2 linked regions of the Oreochromis niloticus genome follow. The protein of the gene in region 2 binds, or shares a complex with, the protein of the main gene of each other region. Links are inferred from orthologs where the notes say so. Each region holds a gene or a part of one and is shown on either strand. Other genes may lie near its edges.

The links.
Region 1: the proteins of ralgapa2 (region 2) and nkiras1 are in contact, whole or in part, in a crystal structure (PDB 9QU1), measured with the Homo sapiens proteins. The link is inferred for Oreochromis niloticus from reciprocal best matches to the Homo sapiens genes RALGAPA2 and NKIRAS1. Residues at the interface, in NP_065076.2 of Homo sapiens: Pro20, Lys21, Tyr51, Ser52, Gln53, Phe56, Tyr59, Glu60, Ile63, Arg99, Phe102, Arg103, Trp104, His105, Tyr106, Gln107, Ser108, Lys185, Ile186, Tyr187, Pro188, Glu189; in NP_001364280.1 of Homo sapiens: Lys6, Glu22, Leu24, Leu25, Tyr26, Glu34, Met39, Glu40, Asp41, Val42, Tyr43, Met44, Ala45, Ser46, Val47, Glu48, Lys54, Gln56, His58, Tyr60, His74, Tyr75, Ser77, Phe78, Lys108, Thr162.

Annotation. Positions count from the first base shown.
Region 1 is NC_031985.2:38,827,163-38,834,612, forward strand, and holds the start of nkiras1 (NF-kappa-B inhibitor-interacting Ras-like protein 1), read right to left. Parts: upstream 3,076-7,450; 5' UTR 2,919-3,075; intron 2,708-2,918; 5' UTR 2,701-2,707; coding exon 2,607-2,700; intron 2,367-2,606; coding exon 2,125-2,366; intron 498-2,124; coding exon 255-497; 3' UTR 1-254. Other genes in the region: rpl15 (large ribosomal subunit protein eL15), read left to right, coding at 4,276-4,447, 4,545-4,681, 5,761-6,066. UniProt on the Homo sapiens protein: Atypical Ras-like protein that acts as a potent regulator of NF-kappa-B activity by preventing the degradation of NF-kappa-B inhibitor beta (NFKBIB) by most signals, explaining why NFKBIB is more resistant to degradation.
Region 2 is NC_031983.2:27,729,254-27,737,184, forward strand, and holds the start of ralgapa2 (ral GTPase-activating protein subunit alpha-2), read right to left. Parts: upstream 3,093-7,931; 5' UTR 2,900-3,092; coding exon 2,794-2,899; intron 1-2,793.

The sequences.
Region 1 (7,450 bases), on a different chromosome or scaffold from region 2:
CTGGAAAGATGTATAACCTACTAAATATTTCCAGCGTGTCGTTACCACTTAAAAAGCTAAAAAAGAGAAACTGTACATTCCTGTATCAGATGTGTTCCTGTGTAACCACATCCTTCCTCCAGGGCCGTACTTGAAGCAGGCCATCAATTATGTCATCAAGCAAAAATCCCAAACGGTTAAACGAGTCCCACTGCTAAACCAACATCCCGCCCACAGCGCGCTGCTGGGAGTGAACGCAGGAAGGAGCGTGTGTGTCAGATGTCATTGGATGGGGTCCCCTTGCTTTTACGTCCAGGCAGAGGGAAGGCCGACTTGCTCTGAGGCTGCGTGAGGCGGCTGGTGAGCTGGGTGAACGGTTCGATGAGCGAGGTGCGTTCAGTGACGCTCACCTCCCACAGCTTCACCTTCTCGCCTCGCGCCCACTGCTGTGCTGCCTCGTGGTCTACCTGACGACGCTCCCGCAGGTCTGTTTTGTTCCCCAGCACTATGACCATCACCTGCACCCAAAACAAAGCCAAGTCACTTTTTAGTGATCTACATCATACACAGGAGAGAAAACCGATTCATACAATATGTTTAGTGTGGGATGTTAGAGTGCAACTTCTCTGTGAAGTTTTTGTTTTTCCCAAATAGCCGCCCGCCCGAGAATATTCTAAAGTTGAACTCATCTACACATTCAAGGGTTTTTTTACCCAACATTATAGAATTATACTGAAGCTATCTAACTATGAAATATGTTTTTATCTCTATATATCAATATTGTGTCTACTCACAGTAAGGAGGCTTTATGTTACTTTCTTACTGCGCTTCAAACAGTCGATGTAAAAGCTCACACCTGTGAGACTTGTGGTGTTCACCCTCAGCTGCGACTGTGGACGCTCACTGGAGCTTTTCCCCACACATTACTGCATGTCAAATTGTGTTTGGGCGAGATACCCAAATTCCACCCGATGCATCCATCGGTGTATGAGTCTGTGCTTAAAATGCATGGAGTAAAGAGGTGTTTTAATGCTGCGTCGACCTCACACAGCGCAGGTGTTTCGAAATATCCTCGTCACATGACCATGGCTAACTAAGGTTTTGGTGCATTCCATCCCAGTTTGAACACCTGGCTGACCGACTGCTTTTAGGTTTGGTTGACAGTGTGTAGAACAAACCTGATGACATTGCAAAGGCACAGAAAGCTTAACAGTCAGCAGTAGCAGCGGAAACAACACCCACAGTGGAACTGCTCATGCCACTGTGGAGCTCAAGAGACGCCTCACTGATGCCTTTGTTCCAACGACACGTGATCCACTAATTTAGTGATGAGAGATCAGGCTGTCAGGTCACTGTTAGCGGTGAATATGATGACCAGTGAGGATGACTACAACAAAGCTGAAACTTAAGTCAGTTTAAAACTCAAATGCTATTGGTAATGCTATCAGAATAAGGTTTGCAGCTTCCTCTGTGTCTAAAGAAAATTTTTTCAGAGCAGTTAAGAAACAGTGAACTATGTAGAATAAAATGCCAAAATGTTAAATGTTGTGTCAGAAAGGCTATCAGGCCCTGAACTCTGTCAAATTGGTGGAGCTACCCTCTCCACCTGTGATATTGTAGCAACATAAAGTAGTGTTTCGTATCGACTCTTCTCCACTTTTATCTTCCTGTTTAGGTCTGCTCTCGTCTGTGGTTTGTTATTTGTGTACTCTGAGGTTCTCTTAGTGCTGCTGGTCATGTTTTTGGAACAGTGACCTTATTATATGCATATCTTTAAAATGATACATACAAGTATTCACTTTTAAGAGCAAACAAACATGTTTTATACGGATAAATTTATAGATTTGTCTATATAAAACCATTCAGATGATTTCTAGCAAGTTTTAAAGACACGTCCAAACATATGTTATCTATTTCTATTCTCCATAAGGTCCAGTTTACACTGTTTAGTACTAGACTCACTGCAAAGCTGTACAGCTAAGAGGCGGAAACTAGAGCTGTTAACAAATATTCTAAATGTAATTATATGATTTAATTAGGCAAAAACTAGACATCTGATCACAGAAAAAAAAAAGCACATGTCATCTTCACAAGTGCCAGCAATCTGTGCAACGTTTGCCTGACCAGACTTCAACCCAGCCTCACCTCTTTTTTATCTCTGGACTTATCTATTTCTTTCTTCAGAATGTCCACCCTCTTGAAAGACTCCAAGCTGTCAACACTGTAAACAAGCACAAAGCCGTCTGCCACTGAGTAATAGTGCTTAGGGAGGTCTTGTCCATCATTCAGTCCCTTGGTGTCATAGAGCCTGAGCTGTTCCTTGACACCTCGGTCGGTTTCCACAGAGGCCACATACACGTCCTCCTGTGTCTCATTAGACTCTGACCCTGAAAGGTACAGACGAAAAATAAAAGAGTTACTGAAACAGCAAATGAGGATCTTGGCAATGAAACATTGGAATGCTCTCAAACAGCGGATGTATCAACACCATGTAATATAAATATGCCAAACAATTGATGTCATACTGGAAGAATGTAAGTGTGTTTTGCCAAATAAAGAGTGTTCAAAGCTTCGTCACTGAAACAAGTAACATCCCATCGCTGTACGCCCAGTCCTCACCTACCTACCTACAGTGTGGTTTCCGTACAGCAGCTGTTCCAGAATAGCAGTTTTTCCAACAGCCGCCTGGCCGCACACCACAACTTTACAGCCTTTTCCCATGTCGAGTCTGTAATACATCAAGACGGATGGTCAGTTTGTACAGAAACGCGTTAGAACCACAGTAACATCAAAACGACCGACAGTCCCTCAAAACATCAACAGACATGTTCATCCTTAGCTTGTACCTAGCTGGCTAAAGCTAGCTATTGTTTAGCCAGCTAGCTGAAATACGAACACATATTTTTAAATTCTTTGTATGTCTGAGAAAAGTCGCTAACTTTAGTGTGGAAGATACGAGGCTTCCGTCAAGTCTGCAAGCGTAGAACCACAACCGGAGGATCCATTCTGCTGTGAGATTAAAGAGCGACAGGTTCTGTCAAAGCGCATGCGCAGTTCACCATACGTCAGAGCCCTCGAAGATCACCAACTTTGCTCGCTTATGCATTATTTATTTATTTATTTATATTTATTTTATATGTAGAAAATATGAAAGCTGATTAAAGACAAGTTAAAATTACATTTTAAAAAAGTTTAACGCCTGTTATTAATATTGACTTTGTAATTGACTCCTTCTAATTAATTTGCAGTTCGACGCAGTAAATTGTGTCTTTATGTTTACAAATATTTTTGCTTTATATTTGTAGGAATGAAATCACTCGAAACTGGACAATGAGCGCGTGTTTGATTCTGAAAATTACCACATAAGTGACAAACGTGAAAAGTCGAAGAGAAAAGAAGACCACATTTCCCAGGAGCACTGTGAAAAGCGGAAGTACGCCACTGCCGTTTTCCTTAAGGCATGCTGGGTACTTGCCCTCTCTCTTTCCGGCTAGTACGCCATCATGTAAGCGAGTTTTTCTGTGCTTGTGACCAAATAGTAATCCGTTAAAATCATCATGTATATACGTTCATCTGTATCTGTGACTCGGGCTGTAGCTTAGTGCTTTGTTATCAGTCTGTACTCTGTGACTATTTCGTGGAAAAAGGTTAAAGGCTTTGATTAGAATCCTATGTTTTAGTGGCGTTCAGATGCTCTCTGTCTGGTAGCTAGGGACCGCTAACGTGTCGTTTCCACTGTGTGATATTTATGTAAATGTAGAGTTCTAGCGTTTGGATCACTGTTCCACGTACGCGTGCATTTCTGTGTAGTTATTTCTGTGGGTATTTGTGCGACAAAGAGCCGGTAAACTGTCCTCGGCTATGCTAGTCTTGTATACAGTTTATGCTAAGCATGGAGTGGCTACATCTTCTGTGTAGCTATTTCATGCTCTACATGTGTCTAAATGTTTTTGGGGAAATCTGAAGTATGGGAGTGTTGGCATAGCCTTCATATTCTGAAGGTATCCAGTCCCAGGTCACGTTCAGCCATGTGCTGTTTGAAGTGTAGTAATACATGAATTTATATTTAAAATGGGCCGGATTAATCTTGTAACCTGCCAACGGTTCAGTGATTTAAAAGAATTGTTAGACCGTACGTGCTGTGCTCTTCAGTGTAGCTGCTGTAAACAGTGTTTCTCTGCTGAACTGTTTGTTGCAATGTAAAGGGAGGTACCACCTAATGAGCTTTTAATTAACAAGCTGACAAAAATGACTTGACCAAAGTTTCTTTCTTTTTTTTTTCTCAGATAAGTCAACATGGGGGCATATAAGTATATGCAGGAGCTATGGCGTAAGAAGCAGTCTGACGTGATGCGCTTCTTGCTCCGCGTCCGCTGCTGGCAGTACCGTCAGCTGTCCAACCTCCACCGTGCTCCCAGACCCACCAGGCCTGACAAGGCTCGCAGGCTGGGCTACAAGGCCAAGCAAGGTGAGTGCTGTGCCTGTGGTTGTTCACCTCCATGTCTGTCACCTGTCATCATCTGTACCCGTTCAGGTAATTGCATATTTTTGTTCAATCGAAACAGGCTACGTGATCTACCGTGTTCGTGTGCGCCGTGGAGGTCGTAAACGCCCCGTGCCCAAAGGTGCTACCTATGGCAAACCAGTGCATCATGGTGTCAACCAGATCAAGTTTGCCCGCAGCTTGCAGTCCATCGCTGAGGTAGGTTCATACCTGCTGATCCAACCTTGGTTTCATGAAGCTACAGTAAGCGTCAGATAGTTCAGTACTGAATGTGACGTTGAGCATCATTAAGCCTGTTACCCATTTTTATTACATTAATGTGAATATCATGTTAGTAATATGAAAGGATGCATTACTTTACTGCCCACAGTAGCTTAGTCTGATAGGTTTAAATGGTGGATTTACAATATTAAAGGTCTAGTTGCCACTCAAACCCCAGCAAATAGTTTTCATCAGTGGTCATATCTTGTGTTGAAGCCTACAGAATGACGTGATCTGTGAACTGGAAAGTGTTTGGATTCCTGTTTGTTATAAAATATCCTTGGCAAATATACTGAACCCCTCAGGAGTCCTGTATAAATGTGACGTGCAATGTTAGATGCTGCATTACTTTAGTATGTGCTCTCTGTCTTGATGTAAATGTGTGTACAATTTTCCTTATCGCAAAATTGGCCATTTTCAGAGTGGACAGGTTCTCTGCAGAGAGTGTTAATGCAACACTAACTGCATTGAGCGTCTTCATGCAGCTGGTGGGATGAGTGGACACAGTGGCTTACATGGGCTTACCCACAATCTTTAATCACCATTTAAAAAAATGTGCATCTGTTTTTGGAAGAAGCAAGAATACTGCGTACCCTCTTGTGCAGCAGCTTTCATAACTTTATCACATTTACCTGTGATGCTACAGCTAGCCGTCTGACTGAATGAAACTAACATCGCAGGATGTTGGTGGCAAAACATCCAGTGAACATGTCTGGATGTGAAATGGGAAGTTGCAGTGGTTGGGAAGTTATTTTTCCCAAATGAAACTGTGGTTTTGGTGAGATTTGATGCATGCACTGGTGCAGATGTCTCTTGCTCAGTGGTGAAGGATGCTTGCTTTTGTTTTCCTGACATGTGAGCACACAAAGGTTAGCGGTGTTCCGAGTGGCTCGGGCAGGTCTGACATCGTCTGTGGGTTTTGAATTTAAAGCTTGTTTCCAACAGGGGCTAGCAGATATTTAATGCTTCACATTGTGATTGCCCTTCTAAGACTAAACATGACTTTTATTTTGTAGGAGCGTGCTGGCCGTCACTGTGGAGCCCTGCGAGTGCTCAACTCTTACTGGGTGGGCGAGGACTCCACCTACAAGTTTTTCGAGGTGATCCTGGTCGATACCTTCCACAAGGCCATCAGACGCAACCCAGACACCCAGTGGCTCACAAGAGCTGTGCACAAGCACAGAGAGATGCGTGGCCTGACATCGGCGGGTAAGAAGAGCCGCGGCCTGGGTAAGGGCCACAAGTTCCACCTGACCATTGGAGGCTCCCGCCGTGCAGCCTGGAAGAGGCGCAACACCCTGCAACTGCACCGCTATCGTTAGAGCGTGCCACGCATGCCTGTACATTTACAAAAATAAACAGCTCTTTTTATGGGGAAGATCTGTGTCGTCTGTTTCATTGTGTTCGTAGAACGTGAGCGCCTTCTTGGACTGATGCTCTTTTAAAGGGTTGTACCTGTACAAGTGAAGACATTTACACTTCACTGGATTAGGAACAAGGTTATTAAAAAAAACAAACAAACAAGCTGATTTTAATATTGTGGGAACTTTCTGTACCTGTGGCACTTTAGAGAAAAAGCCATTCAGATGAGCTGCAGCTGAACTTTTTTGAAAATGTAAATTCAAAACTAAAGAGATTATAATTTAAAAGGAACTCTTCAATAATTTGCAGTTAGCAAAGATTTGTTATTAGTCTCAACCCTCACTGAACAGCAGTGAGTGCACAACAAGAATTCACCTGGGGTCAACTGACTTATTAATGGGATCAGCACTCGGCCAGTTTCATGTCGTCAGCGTGCTAGCTCATGTTAGCAATGTTAGTGTGCTACATCTGATGTCACCTGTGTGGGTGTCTCAGCCACAGGTGCTTCATTATCAACCTTCTGTAAGTACACAACTATAAATGACATGCCCTGGTGCTCCTAGCCATCTGATAACTGAAGGAGCAGACTGAGACGCACAGTTTCTATCAGGCTTTTGGAAGCACTATAGTTTCCTTGTATTTAGTGCTGTAATGTAAGTGATTCTTAGTTGGTACTAAGAAGCCCAAACAGCCATCACACCACCAGCAGCCTGCTGACAGGAGGCAAGCTGCTTCTGTGCTTTAGTGTTGTTTACACCAAATTTTGAACCTGCCATCCAATGAAACATTTAGCATATCTGTTGCTTCAGTTTCTCATTAATATATGAGAGGAGTGGTACCTGGAACAGCATTCAGTCATGCTTTGCTCCACAGAACAGCAGATTTTGGAAATCGGTGTCTTCCCCCATTTGATTTTGTATGCTACATATTTCCCCACCCAAGGTTCATTAAGGTGTGTAGTAGGTGGTTGTATCGTCACGTTACCTGGGGTTGAAGACATTGGGTTAATTTTGCTCAACTGCCCAATACTGGCATGTTGAATATAAATACAATAAATAAAAAATATGTTTAGGTTAACCAGTATAAGTATTAGAATAACAGTGATGCTAATAGAACAGGCCTCACTGAGAGCCTGCACAGTCTGACCTGTGTGTGTGGTGCAGAAGGGTGGCAGTGACACACTGGATGCTTGACTTAGAAAATAAATAAATGGTGACTGACACAAACAGAGTTTTAAGAAGTAAAAGTATTCCCATGTATGTGATGGGATTAATGCTCATGTGAAAATGTGCTGAGGACAAATCTAAGTGTAAAAGTGGTTCAGGGTTCTTCCTTTTGTCTCTG
Region 2 (7,931 bases):
GATCGGCTCAGTGAGCAGAAAACCAATAGAGGGCCACTCTGAAAATAGCCCAGACCACAGATTGTCCTTTCAAGTACAATACTGCTGATAGTACCACTCATTTAACAAGCCTGTTTACCAAATTTCTGGTGTTGGTGTTGCAATGACATAAAGAGGTCAGATTTTGGATAACTTAATAGACAATAACCTTGAGAGAAGACGAGCGGGTTGAAAACTTCTGTGCAGAAATTAAAGGATTACTGAAAACATAAGAGTCATTAAAAAAAACAAACTGTGCCTTAATGGTATTTTCTCCTTGGGACATAGTAAATGAGTGTGGTAAACCCCAGCTGTGGATGGTTGAGTTTAAACATACAGGTTGTAAAGTTTAACAAGAAGCTACATATTAAATTTCCTCCCACCAAAAGCTGTTCCATCCTGCCACCTCTGGAAATGTCTTCTCTTGCCAGTGTTATGAATAATACATTTAAATATTTCAAAAAGATAAAACAGCGTGATCGGTGAAAGAAGGTAAGCTCTATCCAAGTCCCTGTCCTGCCCTGTCCTCCACCTCACCCCATCTCTCATCAAGCTTCCTGCCACACAGGAACCAGCAGAACCAGGAGGAAATCCTTCCTGAACTGCAAGCTCGGTGTAATCTGGGAATTTGGGGGACATTGCAACGTCGGCCCAAATATCAGCTGCTGGACAAACAGACTAGCCTTATCTTTAGCTGCACATGAGGGAAAGAAAAACACAGATGACAGCCAGAGCACTGTGCTGACCTCCACCTTGGCTGTACTAGTCTTGACATTGAAAGTTTGCTATGATAGAAAAAAACTTCAACCATATCAACTTCCCACAGCTTTGCTCAAGCTACAACTGTTAGGCTGACAGTGGCTGTTACAATCCTGCTGCAGTACTGGGAATCAATAAATTGGAGAACAAGTCACTATATGAAAAGGTTACAAGCAGGCACGTGTCAATGAACCAATGGTTTAAACCAGGGGTGGGCAATCTCTGTCCACGAGGGCCGGTGTCCCTGTAGGTTTTAGATCTCACCTTGGGTCAACACACCTGAATCACATGATTAGTTCGTTACCAGGCCTCTGGAGAACTTCAGGACATGTTGAGGAGCTAATTTAGCCATTTAAATCAGCTGTGTTGGTTCGAGGACACATCTAAAACCTGCAGGGACACCGGCCCTCCCGGACTGAGATTGCCCACTTCTGGTTTAAACTCTAAACATGGCAAACGTGCTTGGACTTTCCTCTGAATTCCACTGCTACCCCAGACATACCAAGCTTTACCTAAAAGTGCTCTAAGTAAAAGGAATTAGTGTTTACTGTAACTAAAACTTACCCAAATGAGTCATCGTCTGTATTTTGGGACAATATGTAAAAAAGGTTTCCAATAATTTTCAAAGCTTTATGTATAAAAAAAAAAAAAAATCTAAATGAAAACAAGAGAAGAAACTGTGTTTACTGCATCGGTTTTCCAGCTACTCTGGGGATATTACCATTAGTCATCAAATAAAAACAAGAGAAAATTAACTGCCTAGATGTTCACCTCTGTGTAGTCCACGTCAAGAAATATGCATACATGACCTACTTTGAATGATATTTCTGAAAGACATGATTTATTGCACTCAGAGTGAACAGACTGCAGTTTTTCTCCAGATCTCTTTGTTCCTCTCCACACTGACCTCGATTACTGACAAAGCACTGAGAATAACAGAAGAGCACCAGATATAGTACTACAGCATTCATGATGTTGTCAACAGAGTTCTGATAGGAGGCGACTGTAACATTTGACCTCCTTACCTCTAATACAACGTTTCAGTCCCAAATACGAGTAAACCAGTAATAAACCAGTGATATTATCACCAGATATTAGCCTATCACATATATTTTTCAGTCAGTGGATGCGCTCTTCATTTTTAAAAAAGGATGATGGTGCCTTCAAATTCCAACACTGCATTTATTTTTGTCTTTGATATGATTCGGCATGATAAAATGTACAACTTGCACGTCATCGATTGTGTTTAAATCAGTGTAGATTCAGCATTCACTTGTCATTATTACAGTTTATGAATGAACAAGCCGTGCAAACAGACCGTTTAACAGCGCTTATGAACAGCACAGGTCAGGTGACTACCGAACACAGTCGTGTCTCTTGTTATTAACGCAGCGCAGGAAGACAACAGTTTTATGAGCCTCATAAATGCTGCACTTCCTTGTCCAGTGGATTAAAATAAATGACTGCTCTTGTGTAACACGTTTGTGTCATTATTAAGTGAAATTTCTCAAACAAGGTAGAGGCAAGTTGACTGAAACTCGGGAGGGTAACCTGCAGTGAGAAAGCCCTGTCCTCACTCCAAAAGTCCAAACAGAGACTTCAACCTGTGCGACTCGATGCTGAATGACGAAGCTTCAGATACGTGTTAAACACTCTAATGATGGCACAGGACCGAAGAGCAGCAAAGCCTGTGCTCGGCATCTGTTTCCCTGCATCAGTTAGCATTATTGGCTGGCTAGGTAGCCGCAGGGGAGCTAGCTTGTATTAGCTAACATCCATGCCTCATCATCACAGTGCGCCTTGTCTCATATTTTAAATGAACAAAGACTTTAAACAGCAGAGGGTACCGGCATAATACAGATGCATGTTACAGGTCAGCTGGCTGGACTGGCACTAAGCAGCCAGCTGACCTGACGCCTTGTTTGACGTTAGCCGTCGGCTGGTGCCAGCTAGCTAGCGCCACTTAGCTAAGCCTCGACGATGCAGCATCCAGCTCCCCGGTGACATTTCACTCACCTAACAGAGTCCGGAGGTGTTTGAACCGGGTAAACACATCCTTCTTTGGGTCCAGAACTTTCTGTGTAGATTTCTTGACGTCTCCATGCCCCCTTCGAGTGAACATTACGCTTTAAAATGCGACCGTGGAAGCTGAAATCACCTGTGTTTCACCATACACCGAGCCTCCCGTGTGACTGTCACTTTCCTCACTGCCACTCTGTGCTTGCTCGGTAAACAGCCGCCCGACGGCCGCTGGAGTCTCCTGTTTTAGTGGGTGTGTAAACACGGAAGCGCAGTCTAACGGAGGCGTGGTTAGACCTCATGAATACGCCTCCGTGTTTATGTCTTTTACACCTTGCACCTCCAGCTTTGCTCTCCATCCCTGCTAGAAGTAAGGTTACTCATTTCTGTTTTCTCGGTTAAGAACAGACTTATTTAAACTCCACTGAGGAGTTTGTGTACTTTAATTTCAGAAACTGATAGTAGTGGGCTTGAGTGCACTGTCCTGTCTAAAAGTTTGAGTATTGGCAGCAAGCTTTAGTTTAAAAATGGGATTGTGAGACTGTATACCTCTGTATTTTGATAAAAGGGGGTTGACATAGCTCCCAAGCGCCCTCTGGTGTCTAAGGTAAAACACGACAGTAGAGGAGCAGAGGATGGATATTCATGATACTATACACTGATAAAAAGTGCTAAAAAGTGATTTCCAGTATTTTCCCCAAAATGATTGTCTGTATTTAAACTGTTGTAAATGATCTGTTAAACATGTCTTTCATGAATGATATTAAGACATTTTTAACCAGAAAGAACGGAAAGAAAATGTATTCTTTATTTTAATGTCATTCACATTAAAAATGTGTTTTACAAGAGATCCAACCAAGAGGAAATTGCAACAAGGATAATATCACAGTTCGGATTTTTTTGTAGACTCATAAAGATACTTGCAAAAGAGGTAATTTCTTTATTTTTTATATATGATCCCAGTCATAAATCCTGTTTCATAAATCACCTTTTGGCATAACAACAACAAAAACAAACAGACATGTGCTTGCAAATTAGAATTTGTTTCATGGAAATTACAGATAAAGTAGTGATTGCCCATTTTGTCCAACACAAGGTCATCACAGGTGAGTGAAGAATAATTTGTGAAGTGAAGTATAAAAGTATAATTGGGTTGAAAAACAAACCCAAACAAACAAAAACGAACTAAAATAATATGCTCTGAAATGAACAAATTAAAAAAAAAAAAAAAAAAAAAAAAAAACTAACTAAAATAAGATTTTGAATCACTAAAGCTAGAGAGGGACACGGTGTGTAGGTTCACACATATTAAATAAAATAAACAAAAGTAATATCAAAACTATGGGACAAATGAAATCACCACTTTTTGAAGGACATAAACAAATCACAATTATGAGACACCCTCTCCTTTTTGGGATCATCACAGGGAATCACCTGGCTCCATCTCACCCTGTCCCTACCATCCTTCTCTGCCACACCAGCCCTCTGCATGTCCTCCTTCACGACATCCATAAATCTTCTCTGAGGTCTTCCTCTTTTCCTCCCGCCGACCAGCTCCATTTTCAGCATCCTTTGTCTACTGTGTCCAGTATATGCTCTATCCCACCTCTGCACATGTCCTAACCATATCACCTCGCCTCTCCACCTTTGTTCCCAAAGTGCTCAACCTGAATTGTTCCTCTGACGTAGCCATTTCTTATCTTCTCCATCCTGGTCACACTCAATAAAAACCTTAACACTCGTCTTTTTGTCAGCTCCACCATCTTCAAACCAAACCTCATAGCAGGTCTCAGTACCATCATTTCAACCTTTCCCTTCACTCTTGTTGCTATTCTTCTTTGTCTAACAGCCAAACATGCCTCAAATAAATTAATTGGAATTATTTTAATTAACGCTACATTTTTTCCAGATCAAGTAGAAATGGAAACACTCGATGTTGAGGGGAAAATGATGGCGTAATCTACAAAAACACCAAAATGAATACTTTTTTGCATCTCCTCTGGCTTTCATAACAGCCTGATTTTTTTGAGGCATGGATGGATTTCACTAATGAAAAGCAATATTCTGTATCAACCTGCTCTCTCAACCAGCTTTCCCAAATAGCGGCTGGCAGATCAGCTTTCCAGGATGGATACTCACTATGGAAATTTCCTTTTTCAATTTCCACCATAAATTTTCAATCAGACTCAGATCCAGACTGTTTGCTGCCCATGGCACTAAGTTGATATTAGCTGCCTTTCCTGAAGAAATGCTTTAACACTCTTTGCTCTGCAGCAAGATGCATTATGATGCTGAAAAATGGCTTCATTATCACCAAACCTACTTTCTATCAGATGAGAAAAATGTCCAACATGTAAGTGTGCTCCTGTGTGTATAGTGTGTATAGTGCTGAGTTAATGATGGTCATACCACCCGGTACTTTAGCTGATATGCAACCCCATGAGCCAGGAAATTTGTTCAGGTAGTCGTCTTTAAATGTTTCACACTGCAGATTTGTGATTTGGCATTGAACATCACTTTCATCCATGCTGCTCCTTGGCCCTCTATATATTGTTTTCTTCTTTTTAGGTCTTAATCTTGCTTTTTCTTTGGCGTCTCTGCACGTAGATCCCAGTTCACTCAGTCGTTCATTTTTTACAGCTTCTCATTTTGTCTGGTAGTTTCACTTTTTGGAAAGAGACAGAATATCAACCAAAAGTCCCCAAAAAACACATCACATAAAAGCTATAAACTGATATGGATTTGACCGAGTGAAATAAATATTTGATCCTTAAGGAAGTCATCACTTAGTGCCTGGTGGAGAAACCCTTGGTGGCGAGCACAGAGGTAAGACCTTTGCTGTAGTTGGTCACCAGGTTGGTAAATGATTGGTAAATGATTAATAATATTAATTATTTCCTCTGCTGTATATGTATGTATGCAGACACAAGCCTGCACTTTATCTCACTGTAGTTGGAAGCCTGGGAACACGTCAGAGGGTATATTCAAAATATTTAATGTCTTCCTGCAAACCCTCAGAGCTGAATTCACTAATTTTTAGAGTGAAGTTAAAAATGAACCGAGGAACCCAACTTTCAGATTAAAAGGACTTGCATTTTTTGATATTCACACCCTGCTATGGTGACACTTAAAAAGAGAATGAAGGTATAACAGCTTCACTGCTCATTCCAGCTGCTGCCACTTGACACTTTAAACTGGAGGTTTTGATGAATGAATATAAGAATACAAGGTAGTTTCAAAACAGCAAAGCTTTTCTGTAGTTTTAAGTACTCTTACGGTTATGATACCTTAAAAAGAGTTCACTGTACTCGTGACACTACTGGGTTTTATTTTTTCAGAACAGCGTTCTGAGATAAATAATAAGTTTGAAGAACATGGATAGATTTATTAATCAACCCACTAAAGTGACATTCAGCGCAGTCTCACACTTTTACTTGTCTGAACCAATCTGTCTCATTTTGTAAGCAATTCTGAGAGTAAAATGATTTTACTTACACTTCTTAGTAACTGATTAAAACACAGATCCGACTGCAGGCTTAAAATCTTTTTAGCCTTATGTGAAAAAATAAAGGTTTATACAACTACCGTGCCACCGCTACGAATGAAAAATCGCATGGCACCTCCCACCTTAGGATCTGCCTTTATTCTAGAACAATGTGTAGTGTATTTAATGAAGCCATGTAAAATTCGTGCTATGAATATTTACCAACTTACATACTTTCATAAAGATTTGGTTGCTTGATCTTGTACAAGCTTTGCTCAAACTTTCTGTAGAAAAAGGTGAATGAGGTGGACTGAGAGGCTGTAACTCAGGAAATGCTCATAGTATGAGTGTAAAATTCAAATGGCTTAATTTTATGTGACTCTGAGGGAGTCAGGTGGAAACTTTTTTAAATATGGAATGATCCTTTATGACGTTATGTAATACTATCTTTTTGTTTTCTAATTATTGTCCTCACAAACACCCATCCTGGGTTCTTCGAGTTGACCTAATTTACCAGAAGATGGCGCCTAAACCACTGAAGCAAACAAACCTGCTGAGCTGCAAAGGCTGCAGATCTGGATTTCTTTCTTTTCCCAAGGAGCAAATATGCTTCATAGCCATAGGTCTGCAGATGCAGGTGCATCGGCGCAGATAAGAGTGACAGAATCCATTTAAATAGCAATAACAGAATAATCTGTAGGAAAAGTCTCATAAATTCTCATGTTTTGTCTGAATACCAAAAAACAAAATTGTGAATGTAAAATAAAGATGTTAACAAGAAGTTGAGTCAACGGTGAAGCATTGCTTTCATTAAAGAAAACAGGACTGCATTCTGTTCATCTGTCACCCCCACATATCGAGCACTGACAATGCTGTGAAAGCATTTGTCTCTCGTTTTCAAGGTTCCCAACAATGGATGTCTTGAATGATAGAGAGGAAAACAGAGGGTAGTGAGAGCAGAGGCCAAAGAGGAGTAAAAAGAGGAGTAAAATCAGCCTTTGCCCTGCAGTTTGGTATGACACTCATTATCTGAAGTGGGCCATTCTGAGAAAGGAGGAGGGTGCCTGTCACAACAGATGTTGATTACACAAAACAGGGTAGTTTGGAAGAATGAGTGAATAAAACAAGCTCACACATGCTCGCACACACACACTGGGTTATTATTGGTGCTTTGTCATCAGTCTTAATTGACTGTAATCACCATTCCTTCTTGGCAAACCTCCCCTGTTCTTGAAGAGCAGGTTATTGCTCATTATCTAAGATGGCACGGACCTACGATAATCTATCAACACTAACAATGGGACTGGATATTTTCCTCTCTAATTTGGCACCTGGAAGGAGTTCGGGTCCAGCTCATGTTTGAAATCATATACCGTACGCTGAGGCAGAGGTTGTAGCCCGCCGCAGAGCCACTGTTTCCTGAAAACTGGTCCAGTGCAGAGTTAAAACTCTTACTGTGGCAACAGTCAGATTATATTGGAATTGTTTCTTCTTCTTTTTTTTTTTAAACAGGACTTTTGAAGCATAACCAAACATAATTCGTTACTTTTCATTCCCAGCTTTCAAAGATTGGCAAGTGCGCTCCCCAACACGACCAAATGGTGGCACTGCAGGCTTACAAATGCACACCACCGCTCTCATGGCCAGACTG